Caenorhabditis elegans: one gene and its partner. The protein of the gene in region 2 interacts with the protein of the main gene of each other region in a biochemical or structural test. Each region holds a gene or a part of one and is shown on either strand. Other genes may lie near its edges.

The links.
Region 1: the proteins of nlp-2 (region 2) and gnrr-3 interact in a test that uses a peptide from one of them, tested with the Caenorhabditis elegans proteins (one large-scale study listed by BioGRID).

What each region holds. Positions count from the first base shown.
Region 1 is NC_003284.9:10,045,282-10,054,759, reverse strand, and holds gnrr-3 (G-protein coupled receptors family 1 profile domain-containing protein), read right to left. Parts: upstream 5,301-9,478; coding exon 5,170-5,300; intron 4,771-5,169; coding exon 4,637-4,770; intron 4,596-4,636; coding exon 4,493-4,595; intron 4,444-4,492; coding exon 4,284-4,443; intron 4,229-4,283; coding exon 4,085-4,228; intron 3,400-4,084; coding exon 3,295-3,399; intron 3,245-3,294; coding exon 3,153-3,244; intron 3,101-3,152; coding exon 3,010-3,100; intron 2,507-3,009; coding exon 2,279-2,506; downstream 1-2,278. Other genes in the region: Cystathionine beta-synthase cbs-1, read right to left, coding at 1-77, 416-456; ZC374.2 (Fibronectin type-III domain-containing protein), read left to right, coding at 7,447-7,588, 7,879-8,006, 8,361-8,432.
Region 2 is NC_003284.9:2,340,748-2,348,038, forward strand, and holds nlp-2 (Neuropeptide-Like Protein), read right to left. Parts: upstream 4,020-7,291; 5' UTR 3,939-4,019; coding exon 3,849-3,938; intron 3,792-3,848; coding exon 3,610-3,791; intron 3,556-3,609; coding exon 3,312-3,555; 3' UTR 3,200-3,311; downstream 1-3,199. Other genes in the region: T01B6.1 (uncharacterized protein), read left to right, coding at 4,738-4,884, 6,110-6,232, 7,215-7,291; nlp-22 (Neuropeptide-Like Protein), read right to left, coding at 612-836, 1,234-1,317; nlp-23 (Neuropeptide-Like Protein), read right to left, coding at 1,711-2,049, 2,117-2,191.

The DNA.
Region 1 (9,478 bases), 7.7 Mb from region 2:
CCTTCAGTTTTTTGAGTGGGACAAGTGGAGTTGGACGTTGAGCGGCTTCTAAGATTGTGTTATAGGTGATTCCTTTCCTGCAAAAGTGAATTTGCTAGACTGTTGAAATGTCTTATCTTATCTTATCTATAGAAAATTTTGATTTCAAGCAGATTAGACGAATTTTTTATCTACACGTGCTTCTTTTTTTCTTACAATTTTCTTTTCGAGAGAAGAAAAAATACCTTAAATTTCAAACTTTATGGTATTGAATTCATTCTGCCTCATTTATTTACAGTTTTCAAATAAGATTGCATCAGCACTATTCGTTTTGAAGCCAGAAAAACTGTGTTTTAACTATGTGTTATTTTTGTTTTATAACCTGATTCAAAAAATTTTTTTTAGTAGAGTGCGTGTTTTTTGAAAAAAAACTTACTTAGTTGATCCATGTGTAGCGGAAACTTCGTTTTGGATCATTTTCACACCTGATTAATAGCTACCTGAAATCAATATTAAGTTGAAAACGACATTTATCGATTGAAAAAAAATTGAAACAAAATGTTACAAAGGGTATGAAGTTGACTTTTAACTATTCTTATTGCCACACAATGCCGTGGATAATGAAAACTATAGACTGATAGGCATCTAGATGAGGGTCAGAGACACGAGAAAAAAGATGGGAGGAGTCGGGTCTAAATTGATTCTTCTAGCAAATACTGGGCACTTTGTCGTGGTTTATCTTTTTGGGAGATGATCGATTGTGAAGGTCAAAGAATCAAAAACCTCTTTTATACGATGCTTTATTTTTTCAAAATAGATTTCGTTGAAATGGAATTTTGAAGACAAGTGGGAGAGTGACAAAATGAAATATCAATATCACAAAAATTGATAAAAAATTTTACGACAATATTATCTATATTATCTTGCCAGAACTAACTGCGAGGGACGAGGTGAATAATAAAGTGTACTTAGTATCTTTTATTATTGGTATCATTAAATACATTTCGCTTCGGGCAAAGTATATTAGATCTCTGGTGTAGGCAACAGATGAGGTGACCTAAACATAGGTTAGGAAAAATAACATGACATTTCAGAAAAATAACAGCAAAGAATTTGACACTTTCTGTGTGTTTTTTCTGTGCGTGTCTTTGAAAATACAACTAAAAACTAATTGGGTTTTTTCTCATATTGTTTCATTGATGTAGAAGAATATTCCAATGGATGGAAGAATATTGGAAAAAATGAAGGTGATCAAAATCTATAAATCATAATGATTTTTAAAGCACATGTTCTATACGTTTTTTGTCACTTGTGTGGGTTTGTGAGAATAATTAATAGAAAACACTTTTCGACTATTTTCTGTCACACAATTTTAGAAACAATCACTGCTATGAATGTTGATAGTTTTATTGAAACTATAATTGTAGATACAATAATTGTTGGCATAAGGTGATAGAAACAACACGATTCATGAAGAAAAAAAATGAAGAGATCACGATGATTCAAGATCTGACAAGGGTTATGCGTGTATCATTTCCTAAACAACCCAGACAAAAATGAAATGATGAGAAAAAAAAAGAGCCAGGGAGAGATGAACGAAAAAGAATGGGAGTGCAGACAGAGAGCAGAGTGTACAATAAAAAGGCAAGGACAGGTGTTGGAAAGAAGAGTAACCTCTAGACAGGTATATTACTACTGCAACAACGAGCAATTAGATTATAGTGCTGTGGCAAGATTTATTGCAGTTATTTGTATGTAGTGTGGTGTCTGGATGGGAATTTGGGAAAACACAGGTCAAACAACAAAAGAAGGGGATTGCAAAAAAGAAACAAACCGGAACAGAAAATGATCAAAAAATTTCATTTGATCTGTAAGATTTTATAGTTTTCTCGGGAACAAATAAAATATTTATTTCCTTGAGATTCACCGTTTTTCCGAAAGTTTTTAGTTTGAAAGATGAATTTTATATGGCTTCAATATGCAAAGTGTACTACCATGCATTTGGGCCAGATTCCAAAAATTTTCACGAGAAGATATTTTACGAATAGGAATTGTTTTTTTTTTAACATCCATAACTTTCTCCCAAAAAATGCAACAACACTTTCAAAAGAGCACACTCAGTTTTATTACCATAAATTAATTTTTCTCAGAAGGGATTATTCTTGAAAACAGAGGAATGTGCTACATCACATAATGTACATCTTCGCATTGTTGGTTCGACAAAAGTTTTTCAACGATCAGAAGTTCCAGTTTGTTACATAAAAATATACACGAAATATTTCAAATTGATGGTCATTCCTCAGCATCTGCCAGCTTTTCCGTCAAGTGATCCGGTGCATCTAAACCTCATTACTTTTGGTGTTTTTGAGTCGATTTGCGACGCGCGTCTGTTCTCGAACCGTGGCGCGTGTACCTCGAGGCGACACTTGGGAGGAGTTTTGTTCTCGGTGTGCGCGATTTGCTGCGGCAACAATCCGCTGGGCCTCGGCTTCCCGGACCGTCGTCGATCGGCGGATAGACCGACTTCCTGCAAAGTGATGCTGATCAAGATGCGAAAAATGTAGTTCTAGGTGGTGGTGGAACAGGTCGTTGTTGCAAGAAAAAGAGAAATGTGATTAGAAGATAGACGGTGTGATAGTGTAATTAACAATGTCTAGTTCTAAAATCACACCACCTGCGGGGATTTACTGCAAACTTAATCTAAAAAAATTTTTTAGGAGAAGAAGGTCACTTTAATTGAAATGTGAACGTTCACAAATTAATAAGCTGTGTTTCTAGTCTCTTTTTGTATGACGCCATTTCGACAACTGACGCCATCTCATCATAAATTGGTTGATCAATTTGAGAATATCATGAACTCTATCTCAAATGATAAAAGACGTAAATACGTGCAGTTTGATAAATTTTGTTATAGAAAATAACCGGTTTCCAGAAGGGGAGTTGAAATTAACCACGTGATTAGATAAGGGCTTTTGAAGTGAGAGAGTGTCGGAGGTAAAGAGAAGAAAAACACTTGACCGTCATGCATACCTCCTTACCAGCAGTGTCCATAGTACTGCAGTAATACGAGTTTCTTTTTGGCTCAGTGCCAAAACGATATAGGAATGGATTGATGCACGTGCTAAATAAGAACAATTAGGGAAAACTATTAATGAATGTTTTTTCCTGAATACCTTGCTATAATAATTGCCTGTAACCAATTCAGTTTGCTCACAATTTCCTGGCAATTTTCAGAAACACAGACAATTCGAAGAAGAGCCAAAACCTTAAAATTCACGGTATCTATAACTGAAACGATACTTCAAGTTTGCCTACTTGATATGGAAGCCATGTGAACAGGAACGTACAAATAATTGCCACAGAAGCTCTGAGAAATCTTGCTTTCGTGTTGTTCGTTTTTTGTCCACTTTGTCCTCCGTCCTACAAATATGTTTATGTTTTTTAATTGTTACGTGTATCGAATTGGAAAAATAAATGAAGTTAATTGTATGAATTTATTTTTCCAATTTTTAATTTGATTATTTGTTGGTTTTTAGTGTAACTGTTTTTGCATAATTTCACAACAAAAAATCATCAGTGATACATATTTGTTTGCTTTAATCTGCTTACACCGAATAAAATAACTATTTTGTCATTAGAAAATACCAGGTGTGATGATTTCAAGCAGATAATTGTTTGTTAAATTTTTTTTCTTTTCTCAAGGATACAATTGATGTGTTATTCCAGTAACCAAATCAAAAATGTTATTAATAGTCATTCTATACCCAAAAATGAATTTCTGTTTTCAGATATATTTAGATCATACAGATCATAAGATCACTGGAAAAAAATAAGACTGTCTATAACAAGTTAGTCACTCATGAGTTACGTTTCCACATTTTTTAAAGCACTTAAGAGTTCAGCTTCCATTTTTAAAATTTATAAAATTTATAAGCCAGAAAATGTTAAAAAAGTTGAATTTTTTCACTGAAAGTTTTGGTGAAGTAAAAAAGTAGAACAATTTTGGCTTCTCAGAATTTCATCGAGAATGTATCCTTAGTTTTCAACATTTCCGTAACTTAGGCTCCTCCACTTGAAAAGTTAGATTTTCAAAATTGCATTATACCTGTAATAAACGACGTTCCGCCATTTGTTTCCGTATCGATACCCCGATAGCCAAATAGCATATGATAACAATCAACAATGGAATGTAAAACGAAGTTATGACATGAAACAGGTTGAATGCAATTAACACATCATCATTGAATACCTGAAACGTTATATGTTAACAGAATTCGTTTAGATATTACAGGAAATTGACATACATCAGTTCTTGGGTAGCATTGATACATATCTTCATCGTTGATCTGAATGGTTCCACGCAGAATGCTCATTGGTGATGCACATACAACTGCAAAGCCCCACGCAAGAGTAATAAGCCAATTAACTCGGTTTGCCCCTGTTCGATAGCTGCTCAGTGGAGATCTGAAAAAAAAAACTATATAAGTCAGTGATTCCGATATAGAGTACTTACGTAATACAGCAAAGCATGTCAATTGCAATAGCTGCTACCATGTTCGACCAAAGATGAAAAGGCAGAGCACAAAGAAAACTGAATACTCGACACATAATGTCTCCTAAAAAACAATAAAATTATTATTCAAATGATTATCTACACCTTGAGTCCAGACGATATTATATATCCAATAACTTCTCCAGATCCCGTACATAAAAAGAACCATTATGTGGGCAATAAGTAGCTGTCGACTAAGCTTGACCAGTCTGGACTCCACGCCTCCTTCTCGAACATTTCTGAATATACAAATAAAATTAGAAACATGAACAAAAAATAAACATCAAAACGATGACTGTAATTTTTAATCAGTTTTGTAATAGTTTGGCACGTGAATAAATTATATGCGCGGCTTAGGTTATGCAGGTACTTCAGTAAACTGTTTATCGTTCGAATTTTAAATCACGGATAGTCGAGTATGCAAAAAGGATCTGCAATTACTTAAAACCCCCCGGTTTCTTGGAAAATAGCCTTGCAGCTCTCTCTATTAATATTGCAGTGCTTAAGACTAATAAAAATTAGTCTTGCATGCAGAACTAACATAAGATTAGTTTAACTGACAAACCATTTGCAAAATGTGAAATTAGCTATTATTACTTTTATAGTGTTAGAAGAGTATTAGCTCTAGCAACACTTACCGACTTGTTTTGACAAAAGCAAAAATATTGATTGGAGTACCAATTATGAAAAATGCAAGCTGGTAAAACATTTCGATAACTTCTGAAGTCGAATGCATCATGACAAACGTATCCGATGTTGAGTTGTTCATTTTCTGAAAAGTTTCACAATTGGAATTGTAGTATAGTGTAAGTAATGAAAAAAAACTAGCAAAAAGAAGTGAGGTGTCTTTGCTGGTGACTGTCCGGAAATGAGAAATGAGTGAGATGTGGTAAAACGAAAACCGAGATAGGAGGGGCTTGATTATACAAACTACCACTTTCGGCATACAAAATTGCGTTTTTTTTTTTCATTTTTGCGAAGAAATATGTAGTATTCATCGAGCTGGTAAATAATACGATGCCATGACAGATGTTACTACTGCTAAATGATACGGTGGCTGGAGTGTTAAACGAAAAACATAGAAAAGTGTGAAAACAAGAGAATAACTCCAGAAACTATTTGAATCCAAAGGATTGTCAGAATCAACCGGCGTAGTTTTGCTTTACAAATATGTTAGCTTTAGGCAGACATAGCAATATTGGCGTGAAAACTGCAATTATCGTCGATGAAAAGTATTTTTCTTTATAAACAACAATATTTGGAGCTTTCCAGTCTGATGTAAACTTTTGAACCTGTGGTGAAATCACAACTGAGAAAAAATATAGTTTTTCAAAAAATTAGAAATGTTTGAAAGTTGCTTTGGAAAATACCAAAGGAAAAACATTTGAAAGATCTTGCTGAGACTCAGTCATGCAAATGTTTAAAAAAAACCAACAAAATGCAGTATTTAAATGTCCAGATGCAAAAATGCTTATTCAATTTGCCATCGCATTCATAATTTTACAGTATTGGTTATCTCAACAAGTACCGACAACGGTAATTTAAAAATATAATATTTATTATTATTATTACTTCTTAAATTTTCAATAAAACCGACATAAAATCTATTTGGAGAATTAGCAACTGCAGGAATCAAAGTAAAATGGTTAACAATAATCAAAGTTAAAAAAAAAAACTTGAAACAAATCCTATTGGACAGAATTTTTTCACAGCAAAAACCATTTGTGCATCTATTAATTGCTAGCACAGTATTCGGAAATGTGTAATGTTGTGATTACAAACATATTAATGATCGTTGAAAAAAACTTGATCATCGTTAAAAATTACATTACAAACAAAGTATCAAATTAAAAGTGGAACTACTAACGAACTGAATGAAATCTCTCTTATGAAAAAACAACGACCCGCAACATCGCATTGTAGGAAATTAGAAATATACATTTTCGTGATGTATTTGGTTCTAGAAACCATTTGAAAACTACATCATATTTATGAGTACGAGTAAGTGGAACGGAAAAAGAAACTAGAGAAACGTATAAGTTCTGAGAGCTCGTTTCTCCCGCTTTTAATCCTAATGGCAAAAACCGACAGTTTTTGAGAACATTCAAAAACCCATTTGGCAGTCTTGGTTTCCAATAAGTAATCCACCCAGAAAACTCATAAGATTTACGATTTTCTCAGAAATGTTCCGTGTTTCTCAAATTGGAAAGTATTTAAAACACTATAAAAAGATCGAAGTGAATAAAGTAGGGCTTCCATGTGAGAGCGGCGCGGCGGCGGCGCCTCACGCCGGCCTCACGCCGACCGGCCTTCGCAGTTATATTTTCATTCATTTGTCAAATTTTGTTCATTTCGATTGATATTTCATACTAAAATGCACGACAAAAAACACATGTACCAGAGATTGTTGAATACAGATATAGATGTAACCAAAGAAAATGTGTGTTCCATTTCAACCGAGAACCCTAACCCATTGTTCTCTTCCTTTTGATTTAATATTTTAAACCACTAGAGTTCAACTTTCTAACTTTTGACCTTTACCCCTTTCTTCACAATTTGATGTTCGGTCAACCATCCGAACCTTTTTCTTAATTCATTGAGCTTGGAGTTTAAAACTCAAACTTCGGAGATAAGCGAATCATCTAATCACAAATTCAAAATCAACCGTTTCCAACAATCCTATTCTCTTTCACTCCTGGTTTAAAGTTTGAAATCCGCTGTAATTTGTGTCCGAAGAGTGACACTTATCCTTCACAAACTCTCAGATATTACATTTTGAATGGCCAGTTGCGTATTGCAATGTATCATTTCGAGATACCGCTGACCAGGGCGGCTCGTGTTTGCCCTTGTCGTCGCACTTTCATTACTACCTTCGCTTCTTCTTACCCCTGCCGCTCAAACTGCGTGTTTCCACCATGAAACCTATACTTTTACCACTTCTATTTTTGTACCTCACAGTATCTCAGCCAATCTCGGTGGTTCGAGAGCCGAAAGCACGAATTGTGCCAGAATTAGATATTATCTACGTGGAATGGCAATCAGGATCGCAATCACAAAGTAAGAACAATTTTTTGCAATAAGTTAGGACATAAGACTTTAGAAACCTTTCTTCAATTGCTTCCCTAATGTGGAAAGTGGAGGCAGTTTTTTCAGAAGTTGAGTAAGTATGTACAATATCTTTAGATATGATAATTTAAGCGTTCCGAGTTAAGCTTGTCAATGAAATGAATCTCCAAAGCATTGATTTTTTCTTTTCAAATTTTCTTATCACTTCCGATAAAATAACTGATAAAATTTGAACAATTCAGCATTTTTGTGAGAACAAACAAACAAAACCTAGTTTTCAGATACAATGTACACAGTTCGCCATAAATCTGAATCAGAACAAGCGGCTTGGAAATATGTAAAAACTGGAGAATCAAGTGTTCGAATCCCTTTGGGAATCTACAATGACGGCGATAGTGTTCACATTCAGGTAGATTTAATTTTGGAAAAAATATGATATCCACTTAAAAATAAAAATGTAATTCAATGTGCCAAAATGTAAGGAAAATGTATGAAATCATGCAAAATTTTCCGCCTTCCGAAAAAATGAAAAATCACCGCCGCTTTTAACAGTTTGACCTAATTTCACTAAAATCTAAATATAGACAGGTGTGCGAGGTATGATTTCATTTGTTTTTTTCTTGATTATAATTTCGATAATTCATTATTTGTATACCCGATTGACTCACTGACAAATATTTCTTCAATACATTTCTTTATTTTTTTCCCTGACAGACAATTGAACTACCTTCAGACACACGCCCACAGCTAATTTAAATTTCAGATAAAAACAGAGAGAGGAGCTCAAATAGTGGAGGACTGGACTACTGAAATTGTTGTAGACGTCGCCAAAAAGGTCAGTCATATGAAATAAAGAATAAGTGGAAAATTAATTTGAAAAATAGGAAACATAAAATATGACGAAATGTGGCCCAGAAAATTTGTAAAAGATAACAACTTAAAAAATAAACAAAAAATATTTTTCTTGATTTGAATTTCCGTTTTTCTGTTTTTCAGAGTCCGACGAAAAAGTCAGTTTCCCTTTTTTTTGAGCTCCCAAACGCATTTCCTTAAATAAAACTTTGTCAGAATACTGAACGTCAACAGGATGCTGACTTCCCTTAAGAACCGATATAAACTATATTGATAGAATAAAATTGAAAAGCTTTAAATTTATAGTCTAATAGATTTTTGGTTCAAGATAAAACCAAGACTCACCAATATGCCAAAAAACAGAGGGAAATATGTATCGAGACAAATATACCCAAAAAAAGAAAAGCCAAGAATTTGGAGTATTCTAATAAATAGTTCTGCAATTTGTAAGGTACTACATTCATTTAAAGTCGTTCTCGTCTTTTTAGGAACGTTTTGTCAACGAACAAATAAACTATCAATTTCAAAAGAAAATATAGAGAAAACTTTGAAGGCAGAAAACAAAATATCCTCTAGGAAAGTAACCAAAAACTAAAATGTGTTTTAAAAACTAATGAAAACAATGTGATTTGAGAAAAAGAAATAGCAGAAAAAAAGAAAATGTACACGCAAAGTTCAATGAATAGAACTAAAAGCTATTCTCAGAAAAATTAAGGATCATATCAGTCTTACAGACATTGTCAAAAATTCATTAGAGTGGAACGAAAAAAGGAAATGAGAAGGCTGTTGACGTAGTTCAACATAATTTTTTATTTATTTTGATTTTTTTATTTTGATAACTATAATAAGACGTTGAAAAACTAAATTTAAGGTTAATTTTTTTTAATTCAAAAAGTATAAAAATAGGTAATTACAGGCGTTTAAAAACACTCACAGTTGATGAAATATATTATGAAAGTTTTAAAATAAAGTTGCTCATTTGGACTGAAATTTAAAAAACATGTTTCAAAAAATATGGGAATATTTTTT
Region 2 (7,291 bases):
ATTTTATGGTCACATCTGCCAAATAACAATTTTCCTACAGGAGACAAAAATACGACAGTGCTAAAGTTTTGCCTAAAAGTGGCCAAAACTCAGTATTTGCCACTTTTGACTGGCAATAAAACATTTTCATGGAAATTGTTGGAACAAATTTCGGCTCATTGGTGCAACTGGGCCTTTAAAACTGGACAACTTAAACATTAAAAAAAAACCAATAAAACAAAGTTTCAGATTCAGATTTTTGAGTCCGAAACACAAGATATCAAAAACTTGAAACCGAGCAAAATAGCAGACTAATTTTCTCCCGTTTTTTCCAACTTCGGTTCCACTTTCTCATGAGTATTTTGGAGGCGTTTAATTGACTCTGAATTAGTCTGGTTTTGAAAATCGTATGATGTGTGCCCACCACTGTACTTTTTTCATAGCCTTCTTTATTAGCTTCTGCAGAAAAAATGGCATTTTTGAAACGAAGTTTTAAAGAAAAAATCTCAAGTTAACAGTTTTGTTTATTGAGAATAATTAGACAGATAAATGAAAACAATGCAAAATACGAAATAATTGGTGTAGCGTTAAACATATCGGAATGATCCGGTTAACAATTAACATCAGAAAATTCATACTCCGATTGGGAATCCAGTTAGTTCGTCCGTTGTTCGTTTCCCTGGACGGAATCCGGCTCGCCCAATCGCAATCGACTTTTTCATGATTGGAAGGGTTCGGAGTCTCCAATAGCGCAAGCGCCCCTCACGAGTGTTGCGCAGGTAGTTTGCTCGGTGAAGGATCTGATTGAAATCGACTTGATCGACAACTCCTAATCCGCGGAAGACATCGATTCCACCCTGAAATTACGGTGCTTGTTGCCATTTGAAGGAACTCGATTTTGGGAATTTTTGAACTTATACTTTCAAAATATCCTCAAATGAATGAATTTTTTAATAAACTTTCGCGAAAGTTTTTCAATATTTTTTTGTGGCGGTTCAAAATTTTCGCATAAAAATGGCCTAATTCGGACGGAAATTGAAATTTTGTAACCTATTGGTTGCCTATCCGCTTGAAATTTTAAACTTAAAAAAACGATGTAAATGTGCAAATTGAGTCAATAATAAAAAAAAAAAATTTTTGGGGATTTAAGGCTAATTTACAAACAAACACATCTAGGTCTTTTTTCGAAAATTTGAACCGTCGTAAACACAATTTGATCGGTACCCTTTTCCTTTAACATTGTGTAAAGCTAACCTGAAGCCCAAGAGCTGAGGTCTGGACCAGAAGAATGTCCAACGCGAAGATCGTCAATCCGATGAAGACGATTATGGAACGCATTTCCGAGTTGGGAAAGTTCGAGAATAAAAAAGAATAAAAAACGGGGGTATAGTGAGCACAACTCGATCGGCCAGAATTTATATGCTTTTTGCTCTGTTACATCTAAGGCGGAGCAAAACGGTTAAACGACCGGAACCGGTGAATGTTTTTTTTGGAAAACGTTGCTCTCGGTTTTGTGAACTCATAAAGTAACATGCGAAAAATTGCACAAAAACTACTGCTTTACACCCACAATGATTTGTTCTCTGGAAACGTGGGTTTCAAATTAGAATGATAAAAGTTCCTTATTCTAGTGATCAGTGATGATTACTCATGTCTTTGCTATCATTTCATACAGATACTTTATTTGATTCACAAGTAAAAATTAATGTTTGTAGAAATTCCAAAAATTATTTACTCCGAGAAATCATTGCGGTAAAGAGGATAATAGCTCTCTGCAAATGGCATTGATCGCTTTCCGCGGTTCCATCCAGCTGCAAATGCACGCTTCCCTGGGCGCATTCCAGCTCTGCCAATTGCCATTGATCGCTTTGCTGGCCGGAATCCTTGACGACTGATATAAAGACGCTTCTCCATAGTTAGTGGCTCCGGTTCTTCATCGGCATAGATCTCATCTTCGTCGTTTGGGATAACAATCATAGGGGTCGCCAAGTCGACAGCATCATCTTGGTCTAGGTCATTAGAATCTAAAAGTTGGGATTCGTAGGAATCATCTTTAGACGTTGGATGTTCCTGAAATGTTCATTTGCTACAATTACATAAAATGATAAAATAAGTAGCTCAGTTCATATGAGCTCACCGAGTAAAAACCCAGCTCCAAAGCATGAGCTGAGACTCCAAGAAGTGCCATCCAAATGACGAGGTGAGCTGCCATTGACTTTGAAAGTGATATCAGGTGGGACTGAGGACATCCTTCTGCTCGTCTTTCTTTTTATAGCACCTATTAAGAAAACGTGGTCTTGTAGTCCGGAAAACTGACACTACGATATTTTGGAGGATCGGATTTTTACGAGTTTTTTAACGATTTCGTAAAGGGACTACACTTCTACAATAGAATACAACGACTATAGGTGTATCTAGGAACTAAAAACAATTTTTTTTGAGAAGTTTAGAAATTTGCTCATCTGAGCACATTTTGGGTACATACATTCAAAATTCCAATACCTCCTCATCAGTGATAAAAAGGTCAAATGCGGAAAAGCCTGGAAGAACTGCGGAAAAATTGCCACAGATTTGGGTTTTATAGGCGGCTAATTATAATTTAATTTTGGAATTGGACAATCTGATTTCCCTTCAAAATATTTTTTTTCTTAACAATTTACTGACGACGAGCTGAAGATGATACTATCCCACGTCACTGATGTTTTTCCAACTAGAAAAAAAAACGTTTCCATAATGAGCTGAACATCGATCAAAACAACAGGGTACCCCTCTGAGAATTTTTTAATTCAGCTTACACAAAAAAAAATTGCGAACCGGCATACATTTAGTACAGTTTTGAATAACAGTAGGCAGTGAGTTTTTGCATTTTTTGAATTTTTGAAAATTTTTGAAAAAAAAAAGGTTTCAATATTGTCAGTGCGATTACATATAGAATTTATTCAATTGTATGGAGACAATTTTTTGGAAGGCTAAAAGAAAAAGAGCAAATTTTAATCGGACCCATACGTGCCTTCAAACTTGGCACACTGGTAGTGGACACATGGCTCAACAAATTGATTTCAACAAAATTTTTTGAACTGACCTACATGTTATATTAGTAAATCTGACTTTATATTGCATAAAATCCCCGATCAAAATAGTTTGTGATTCATATTCACCCTGTCTGAAACTTCTTTCCGAACCATTACTCTCTGAAACTGGGCTCTAAAAAACTCTAAAAAACAGAACACGATTTCATTCCGGTAATCTGGCTGTGTTTGTACATAAAGTATCAGTGATGATGACGGTGAATATTACAAAGAGATCGATTCAAATTAGTCGGAGCAGGTTCTCTAGATTATATAGATTTCTGGAACGTGTTGTGGGAAGACCTCCTTCATGTCATTGCTTCTCTTTCCTGGCCGGAATCCTTGACGACCGTAGGCCATTGAGCGCTTTCCTGGCCGGAATCCTTGCCGTCCATATGCCATGGATCTCTTTCCCGGCCGGAATCCTTGTCTGCCGTAGGCCATTGAACGCTTGCCCGGACGCAGTCCCAATCTTCCCATTGCCATTGATCGTTTCATGATGAGATCACTGGAAAATCAGCAGGTTTTGTTTTGCACAAGCCAAACGAGGCTTCAAAGTTACCTAACATCCACAGTGTGAAAGTTGTCCATGCTCCGTTTTCCAGGGCGGAATCCGCTTCGTCCGAGAGCAATGCTTCGTTTGCCCATTGCTCCTTCAGTGAACTCTTCCTCTTGTTTCCATTCATCTTCATCTTCAGAGTCGTACAGTTCGGGAGAGTTCTCAAGGACAACCACATCGACAGCCTGAAAAACTTTCAAAGTAGAAACCAGTACAGATGCTACTGGCAAAGATCCACTAACCGATGATTCGTCAGGACGATAGACCTGAAGCGGAACTGCTTCAGAATAAACTGCGCAGAGCAAAGCAAAAAGCACGAGGGTTGCTCGCATTTCTCGCGTTGTTGGGAGCTGAGCGAGAATAAGTGAAACCGAAGAAAGAGCTCGGGAGAGAGAGAGAGAGCTGAAAACAATGAAGATTACAGTAGATGCTTATCCAAATTTATACGGCTTTCATAATATATACGGGGCGGAGTTATAACAATATAAAGTACCAGTGGGAATATTGATAACGAGAATGCGGCAAGACGCGAATCAGGCGAAATGGGGGGAGAGAATGGGAAGAAAAACTGAGGTGTATCGAGCCGAGCGGGTGGGCGAGTTGCGTGATTGGTTCTGTATTCAAAATGACGTTGGTCAGAAATTGGAAGAGATGGGGAAAATGGTCACAATTTTTGAATAGTGCTCATAGTGCGGAACCGATTTGATTCAAGGTAACAGCTATGAAACTGCAGAGCAAACAGAAATTAGAAGCATAGTACAAATCTGTACAGTATTGGAAGTCTGCTATTCGAAATGTTGCCCAGAAAACTATATACGGTTTGTATACTTTATGTCTTAAATACGTATTAAGTTTTTATTAAGAAGCACTGACAAAATTGGTGTTTTGACAAATCGGAAGTAGTAGGTATCCAGTTATTAGTATAGTAGACAATAGTAGTGACAGCCAGTGATCTACTCATTATAAGATTAGTTCTCCTGGGATAGTCGTACAAGTTCGGCTTGGAAGACAGCCCGGTACGGAGTAGCATAACATGTTTTTCTCATTCGATCCACTACCTAGTTTTTGGTCGGCACTTTATTTTTCGGTTAATTTTTGGGACTTATTTCCAAATTGAAAGATTTTTTTCAGGCACGATTGGAATATTTTCAAGGAGAAGAGAGTGAAATGTTGAAACGTGGCCAAGATCAAGCGACAAAACTTCTGGAATGGTACAAAGAACGTCTGCTTTCGGTTCAGAAAAAAGCGAGGCTCTTGAAACAAGGGAGTGTCTCACTGGTAAGCGTTAAAAAAGTACAGGTCTGGAATAGTATTAGGAGCCGGGTCAAAATTCATTACAAAATTGTGGGAATCATGTCATTTAAGATTTTTCTTTTGACGGTACTTTCCATTATCTGTCACCACTTGAAGTATCCGTAGACTAAAAAAAGTTTCTCCGAGTATGGATACTTTTTATGGAAAAAAGTTTTGGAGAGAACCGTTAAATGTCCTGGTTCTTAAAATATTTTCCCTGTGTCAAAAAATTCATACTCAGCAAAAAAAAATTCAATTTTGACCAGGAACAGGAACTTGCACTGCTCAGGTCCTGTCATTAATTGCAGTTCTCCTAGACAGTCAGTTTCAGTAAACAGTTGTTGATAAATTTCGAACCCAAGTGTGTCAGTGATGTCACGTGATTTCATTATGATTTCATAGAATCTTCTGTTTCAATTAGATCATAGTAATTCTTAGAGCTCGTTATGTTTCTCGGAGCTCTAGAGAAAAAGCAATAAATTCAATGGTACCACGCATGACTTTATGGGCTACAGTATACTGCAAGAACTGACAATTTATCCAATTATTTAGAATGAGCCTATTTTAAGAGGGCAGGCTTTTTTTTGCAAAATTGTGTGGGTAGGCAGATTGGATCAGTTCCTGGTTCATACTGAAAAATTTGATCAAAGAAAATGAAAATGCTGAGCTGGAAGTTGTATTGGGGGGGGGGGGGTGTATGATATTACAGGAAAATATGACACAACTTAAATTATTTAAAAACTTGAAGGAGAAACGGTTATGGGTATTCTAAACTATTAATTTTTGCCTAATTTTTGCTAAAATCTCCAATTTTTCAAGTTTTTTTTTTGAAATTTTGAATCGGCATAAAGATGTTTTGAATAATTGTTGAGAATTTTCATTACAAAATTTGTTTATTTGAGCACATTTAGGGTTTTTTACGTTCAAAATACCCAGAACCGTTACTCCTCATTTGAAAAGATACTTATAAAAAAAATACTATAAAAAAGAATTTAGAAAGTGGAATAGGTCCATCAAACTACTACTCTGTCAAAACTGGTTTATAAGGACTTGGAAGCTACAAATATTTGTTTTTGTTCAAAATCACGTTGTCATCTTTGAACAATATAGTACGTGTCATGAGTAGGAGTACTTAAGGGCTCATAGATACAATCAAGTACTACAAAATCGTAAAATGGTCAGAATAACAAGTACGTGTGCATTTTTTCAGGATCCCGCTGTACATGAGCAGAAGCTCAACTTTCTCCGAGCCCACATCACAGAGCTCAACCGTCGTATTTTGGCAGTGATGGAGACTAGTGATAAAGGATTCCCGACGCACCATAACAGAACGGTAGGGATTACAATTCTCCATCCGACGCCAGCGCAGTTCTGACTACAAAACATACCGAAATTGAACAAAAAAAAACGTTTTATATCATGCGCTTTATACAATTTTTGCCCTATACAGCTACGTTATTTGTACATGACAAGTGAATCTCGTGACAGCCTTGTGCATTTTAGTTGACAGCGTAAGTTTTATGGAGTTAGGAGAAAAGCTTGAACCATTGGCTGCATGGGATGGGGACTCTGTAACATACTACAGATTAATTTCTGAACGATAATGCTTTTCCTTTTTTTTAATATGACAATCCTAGTGAATCCGCAGCGCAAAAATGACACCTGGAAATTTTTTTTTTGAATCCAGAGATTTTCCAAAATTAATGTATTCATTAGAGAATAAGCTTTAAAAATATATTTATACATTCCACACGCCCAACAAAAATCAATTTCCTTATTTCATATGAAAGAGTAAAATTTTGATAAGTCCGTTGTGAGTCACTGACATTTAAACCAGAAAAATATTTTGCTTACGGGTTATCAGATACAAATAATTGTTGTCTGATTGCTTTTCATGAAGTCATTCGGGTACATGACAAATGTTGTGTTTCTAGAAATTATTCATCAGATGACAAAAGTGTTAATATCGGAGATCTTGTGAAGTTTTTTTTTCCAACAAATAAGTCTGAAACTGTTTTTAAAAAACTTTTAAAAATTTGTGTTCAGGAAGAGTACATCTGTAAGAGCTTATAGGTGGTGTTGCGCCAGCGGGAAAGTTGTTAGACGCCACTTTTATGATGCAAAATAGTATAATGAATCTTTGGAAAATATTTTCAATTTTAGCCAAAAATACAAATTTCCTACAATTTCCGCAAATCGACCATTTGCCGATTTGCCGAATTTGTACCAACATTGCCACCCACCCCTGCTTTGAAACAATTTCCCCACTCGACTGTTTTTTTCCTTTTCCAATCAACATACCGAGTATTTTACAGGCTTCAAATGGCCCGTCTACAGGTGCTAACGATGACCAGCTTGTGTGGCTCCATCGTCAAAATCAGCGATTGAATCA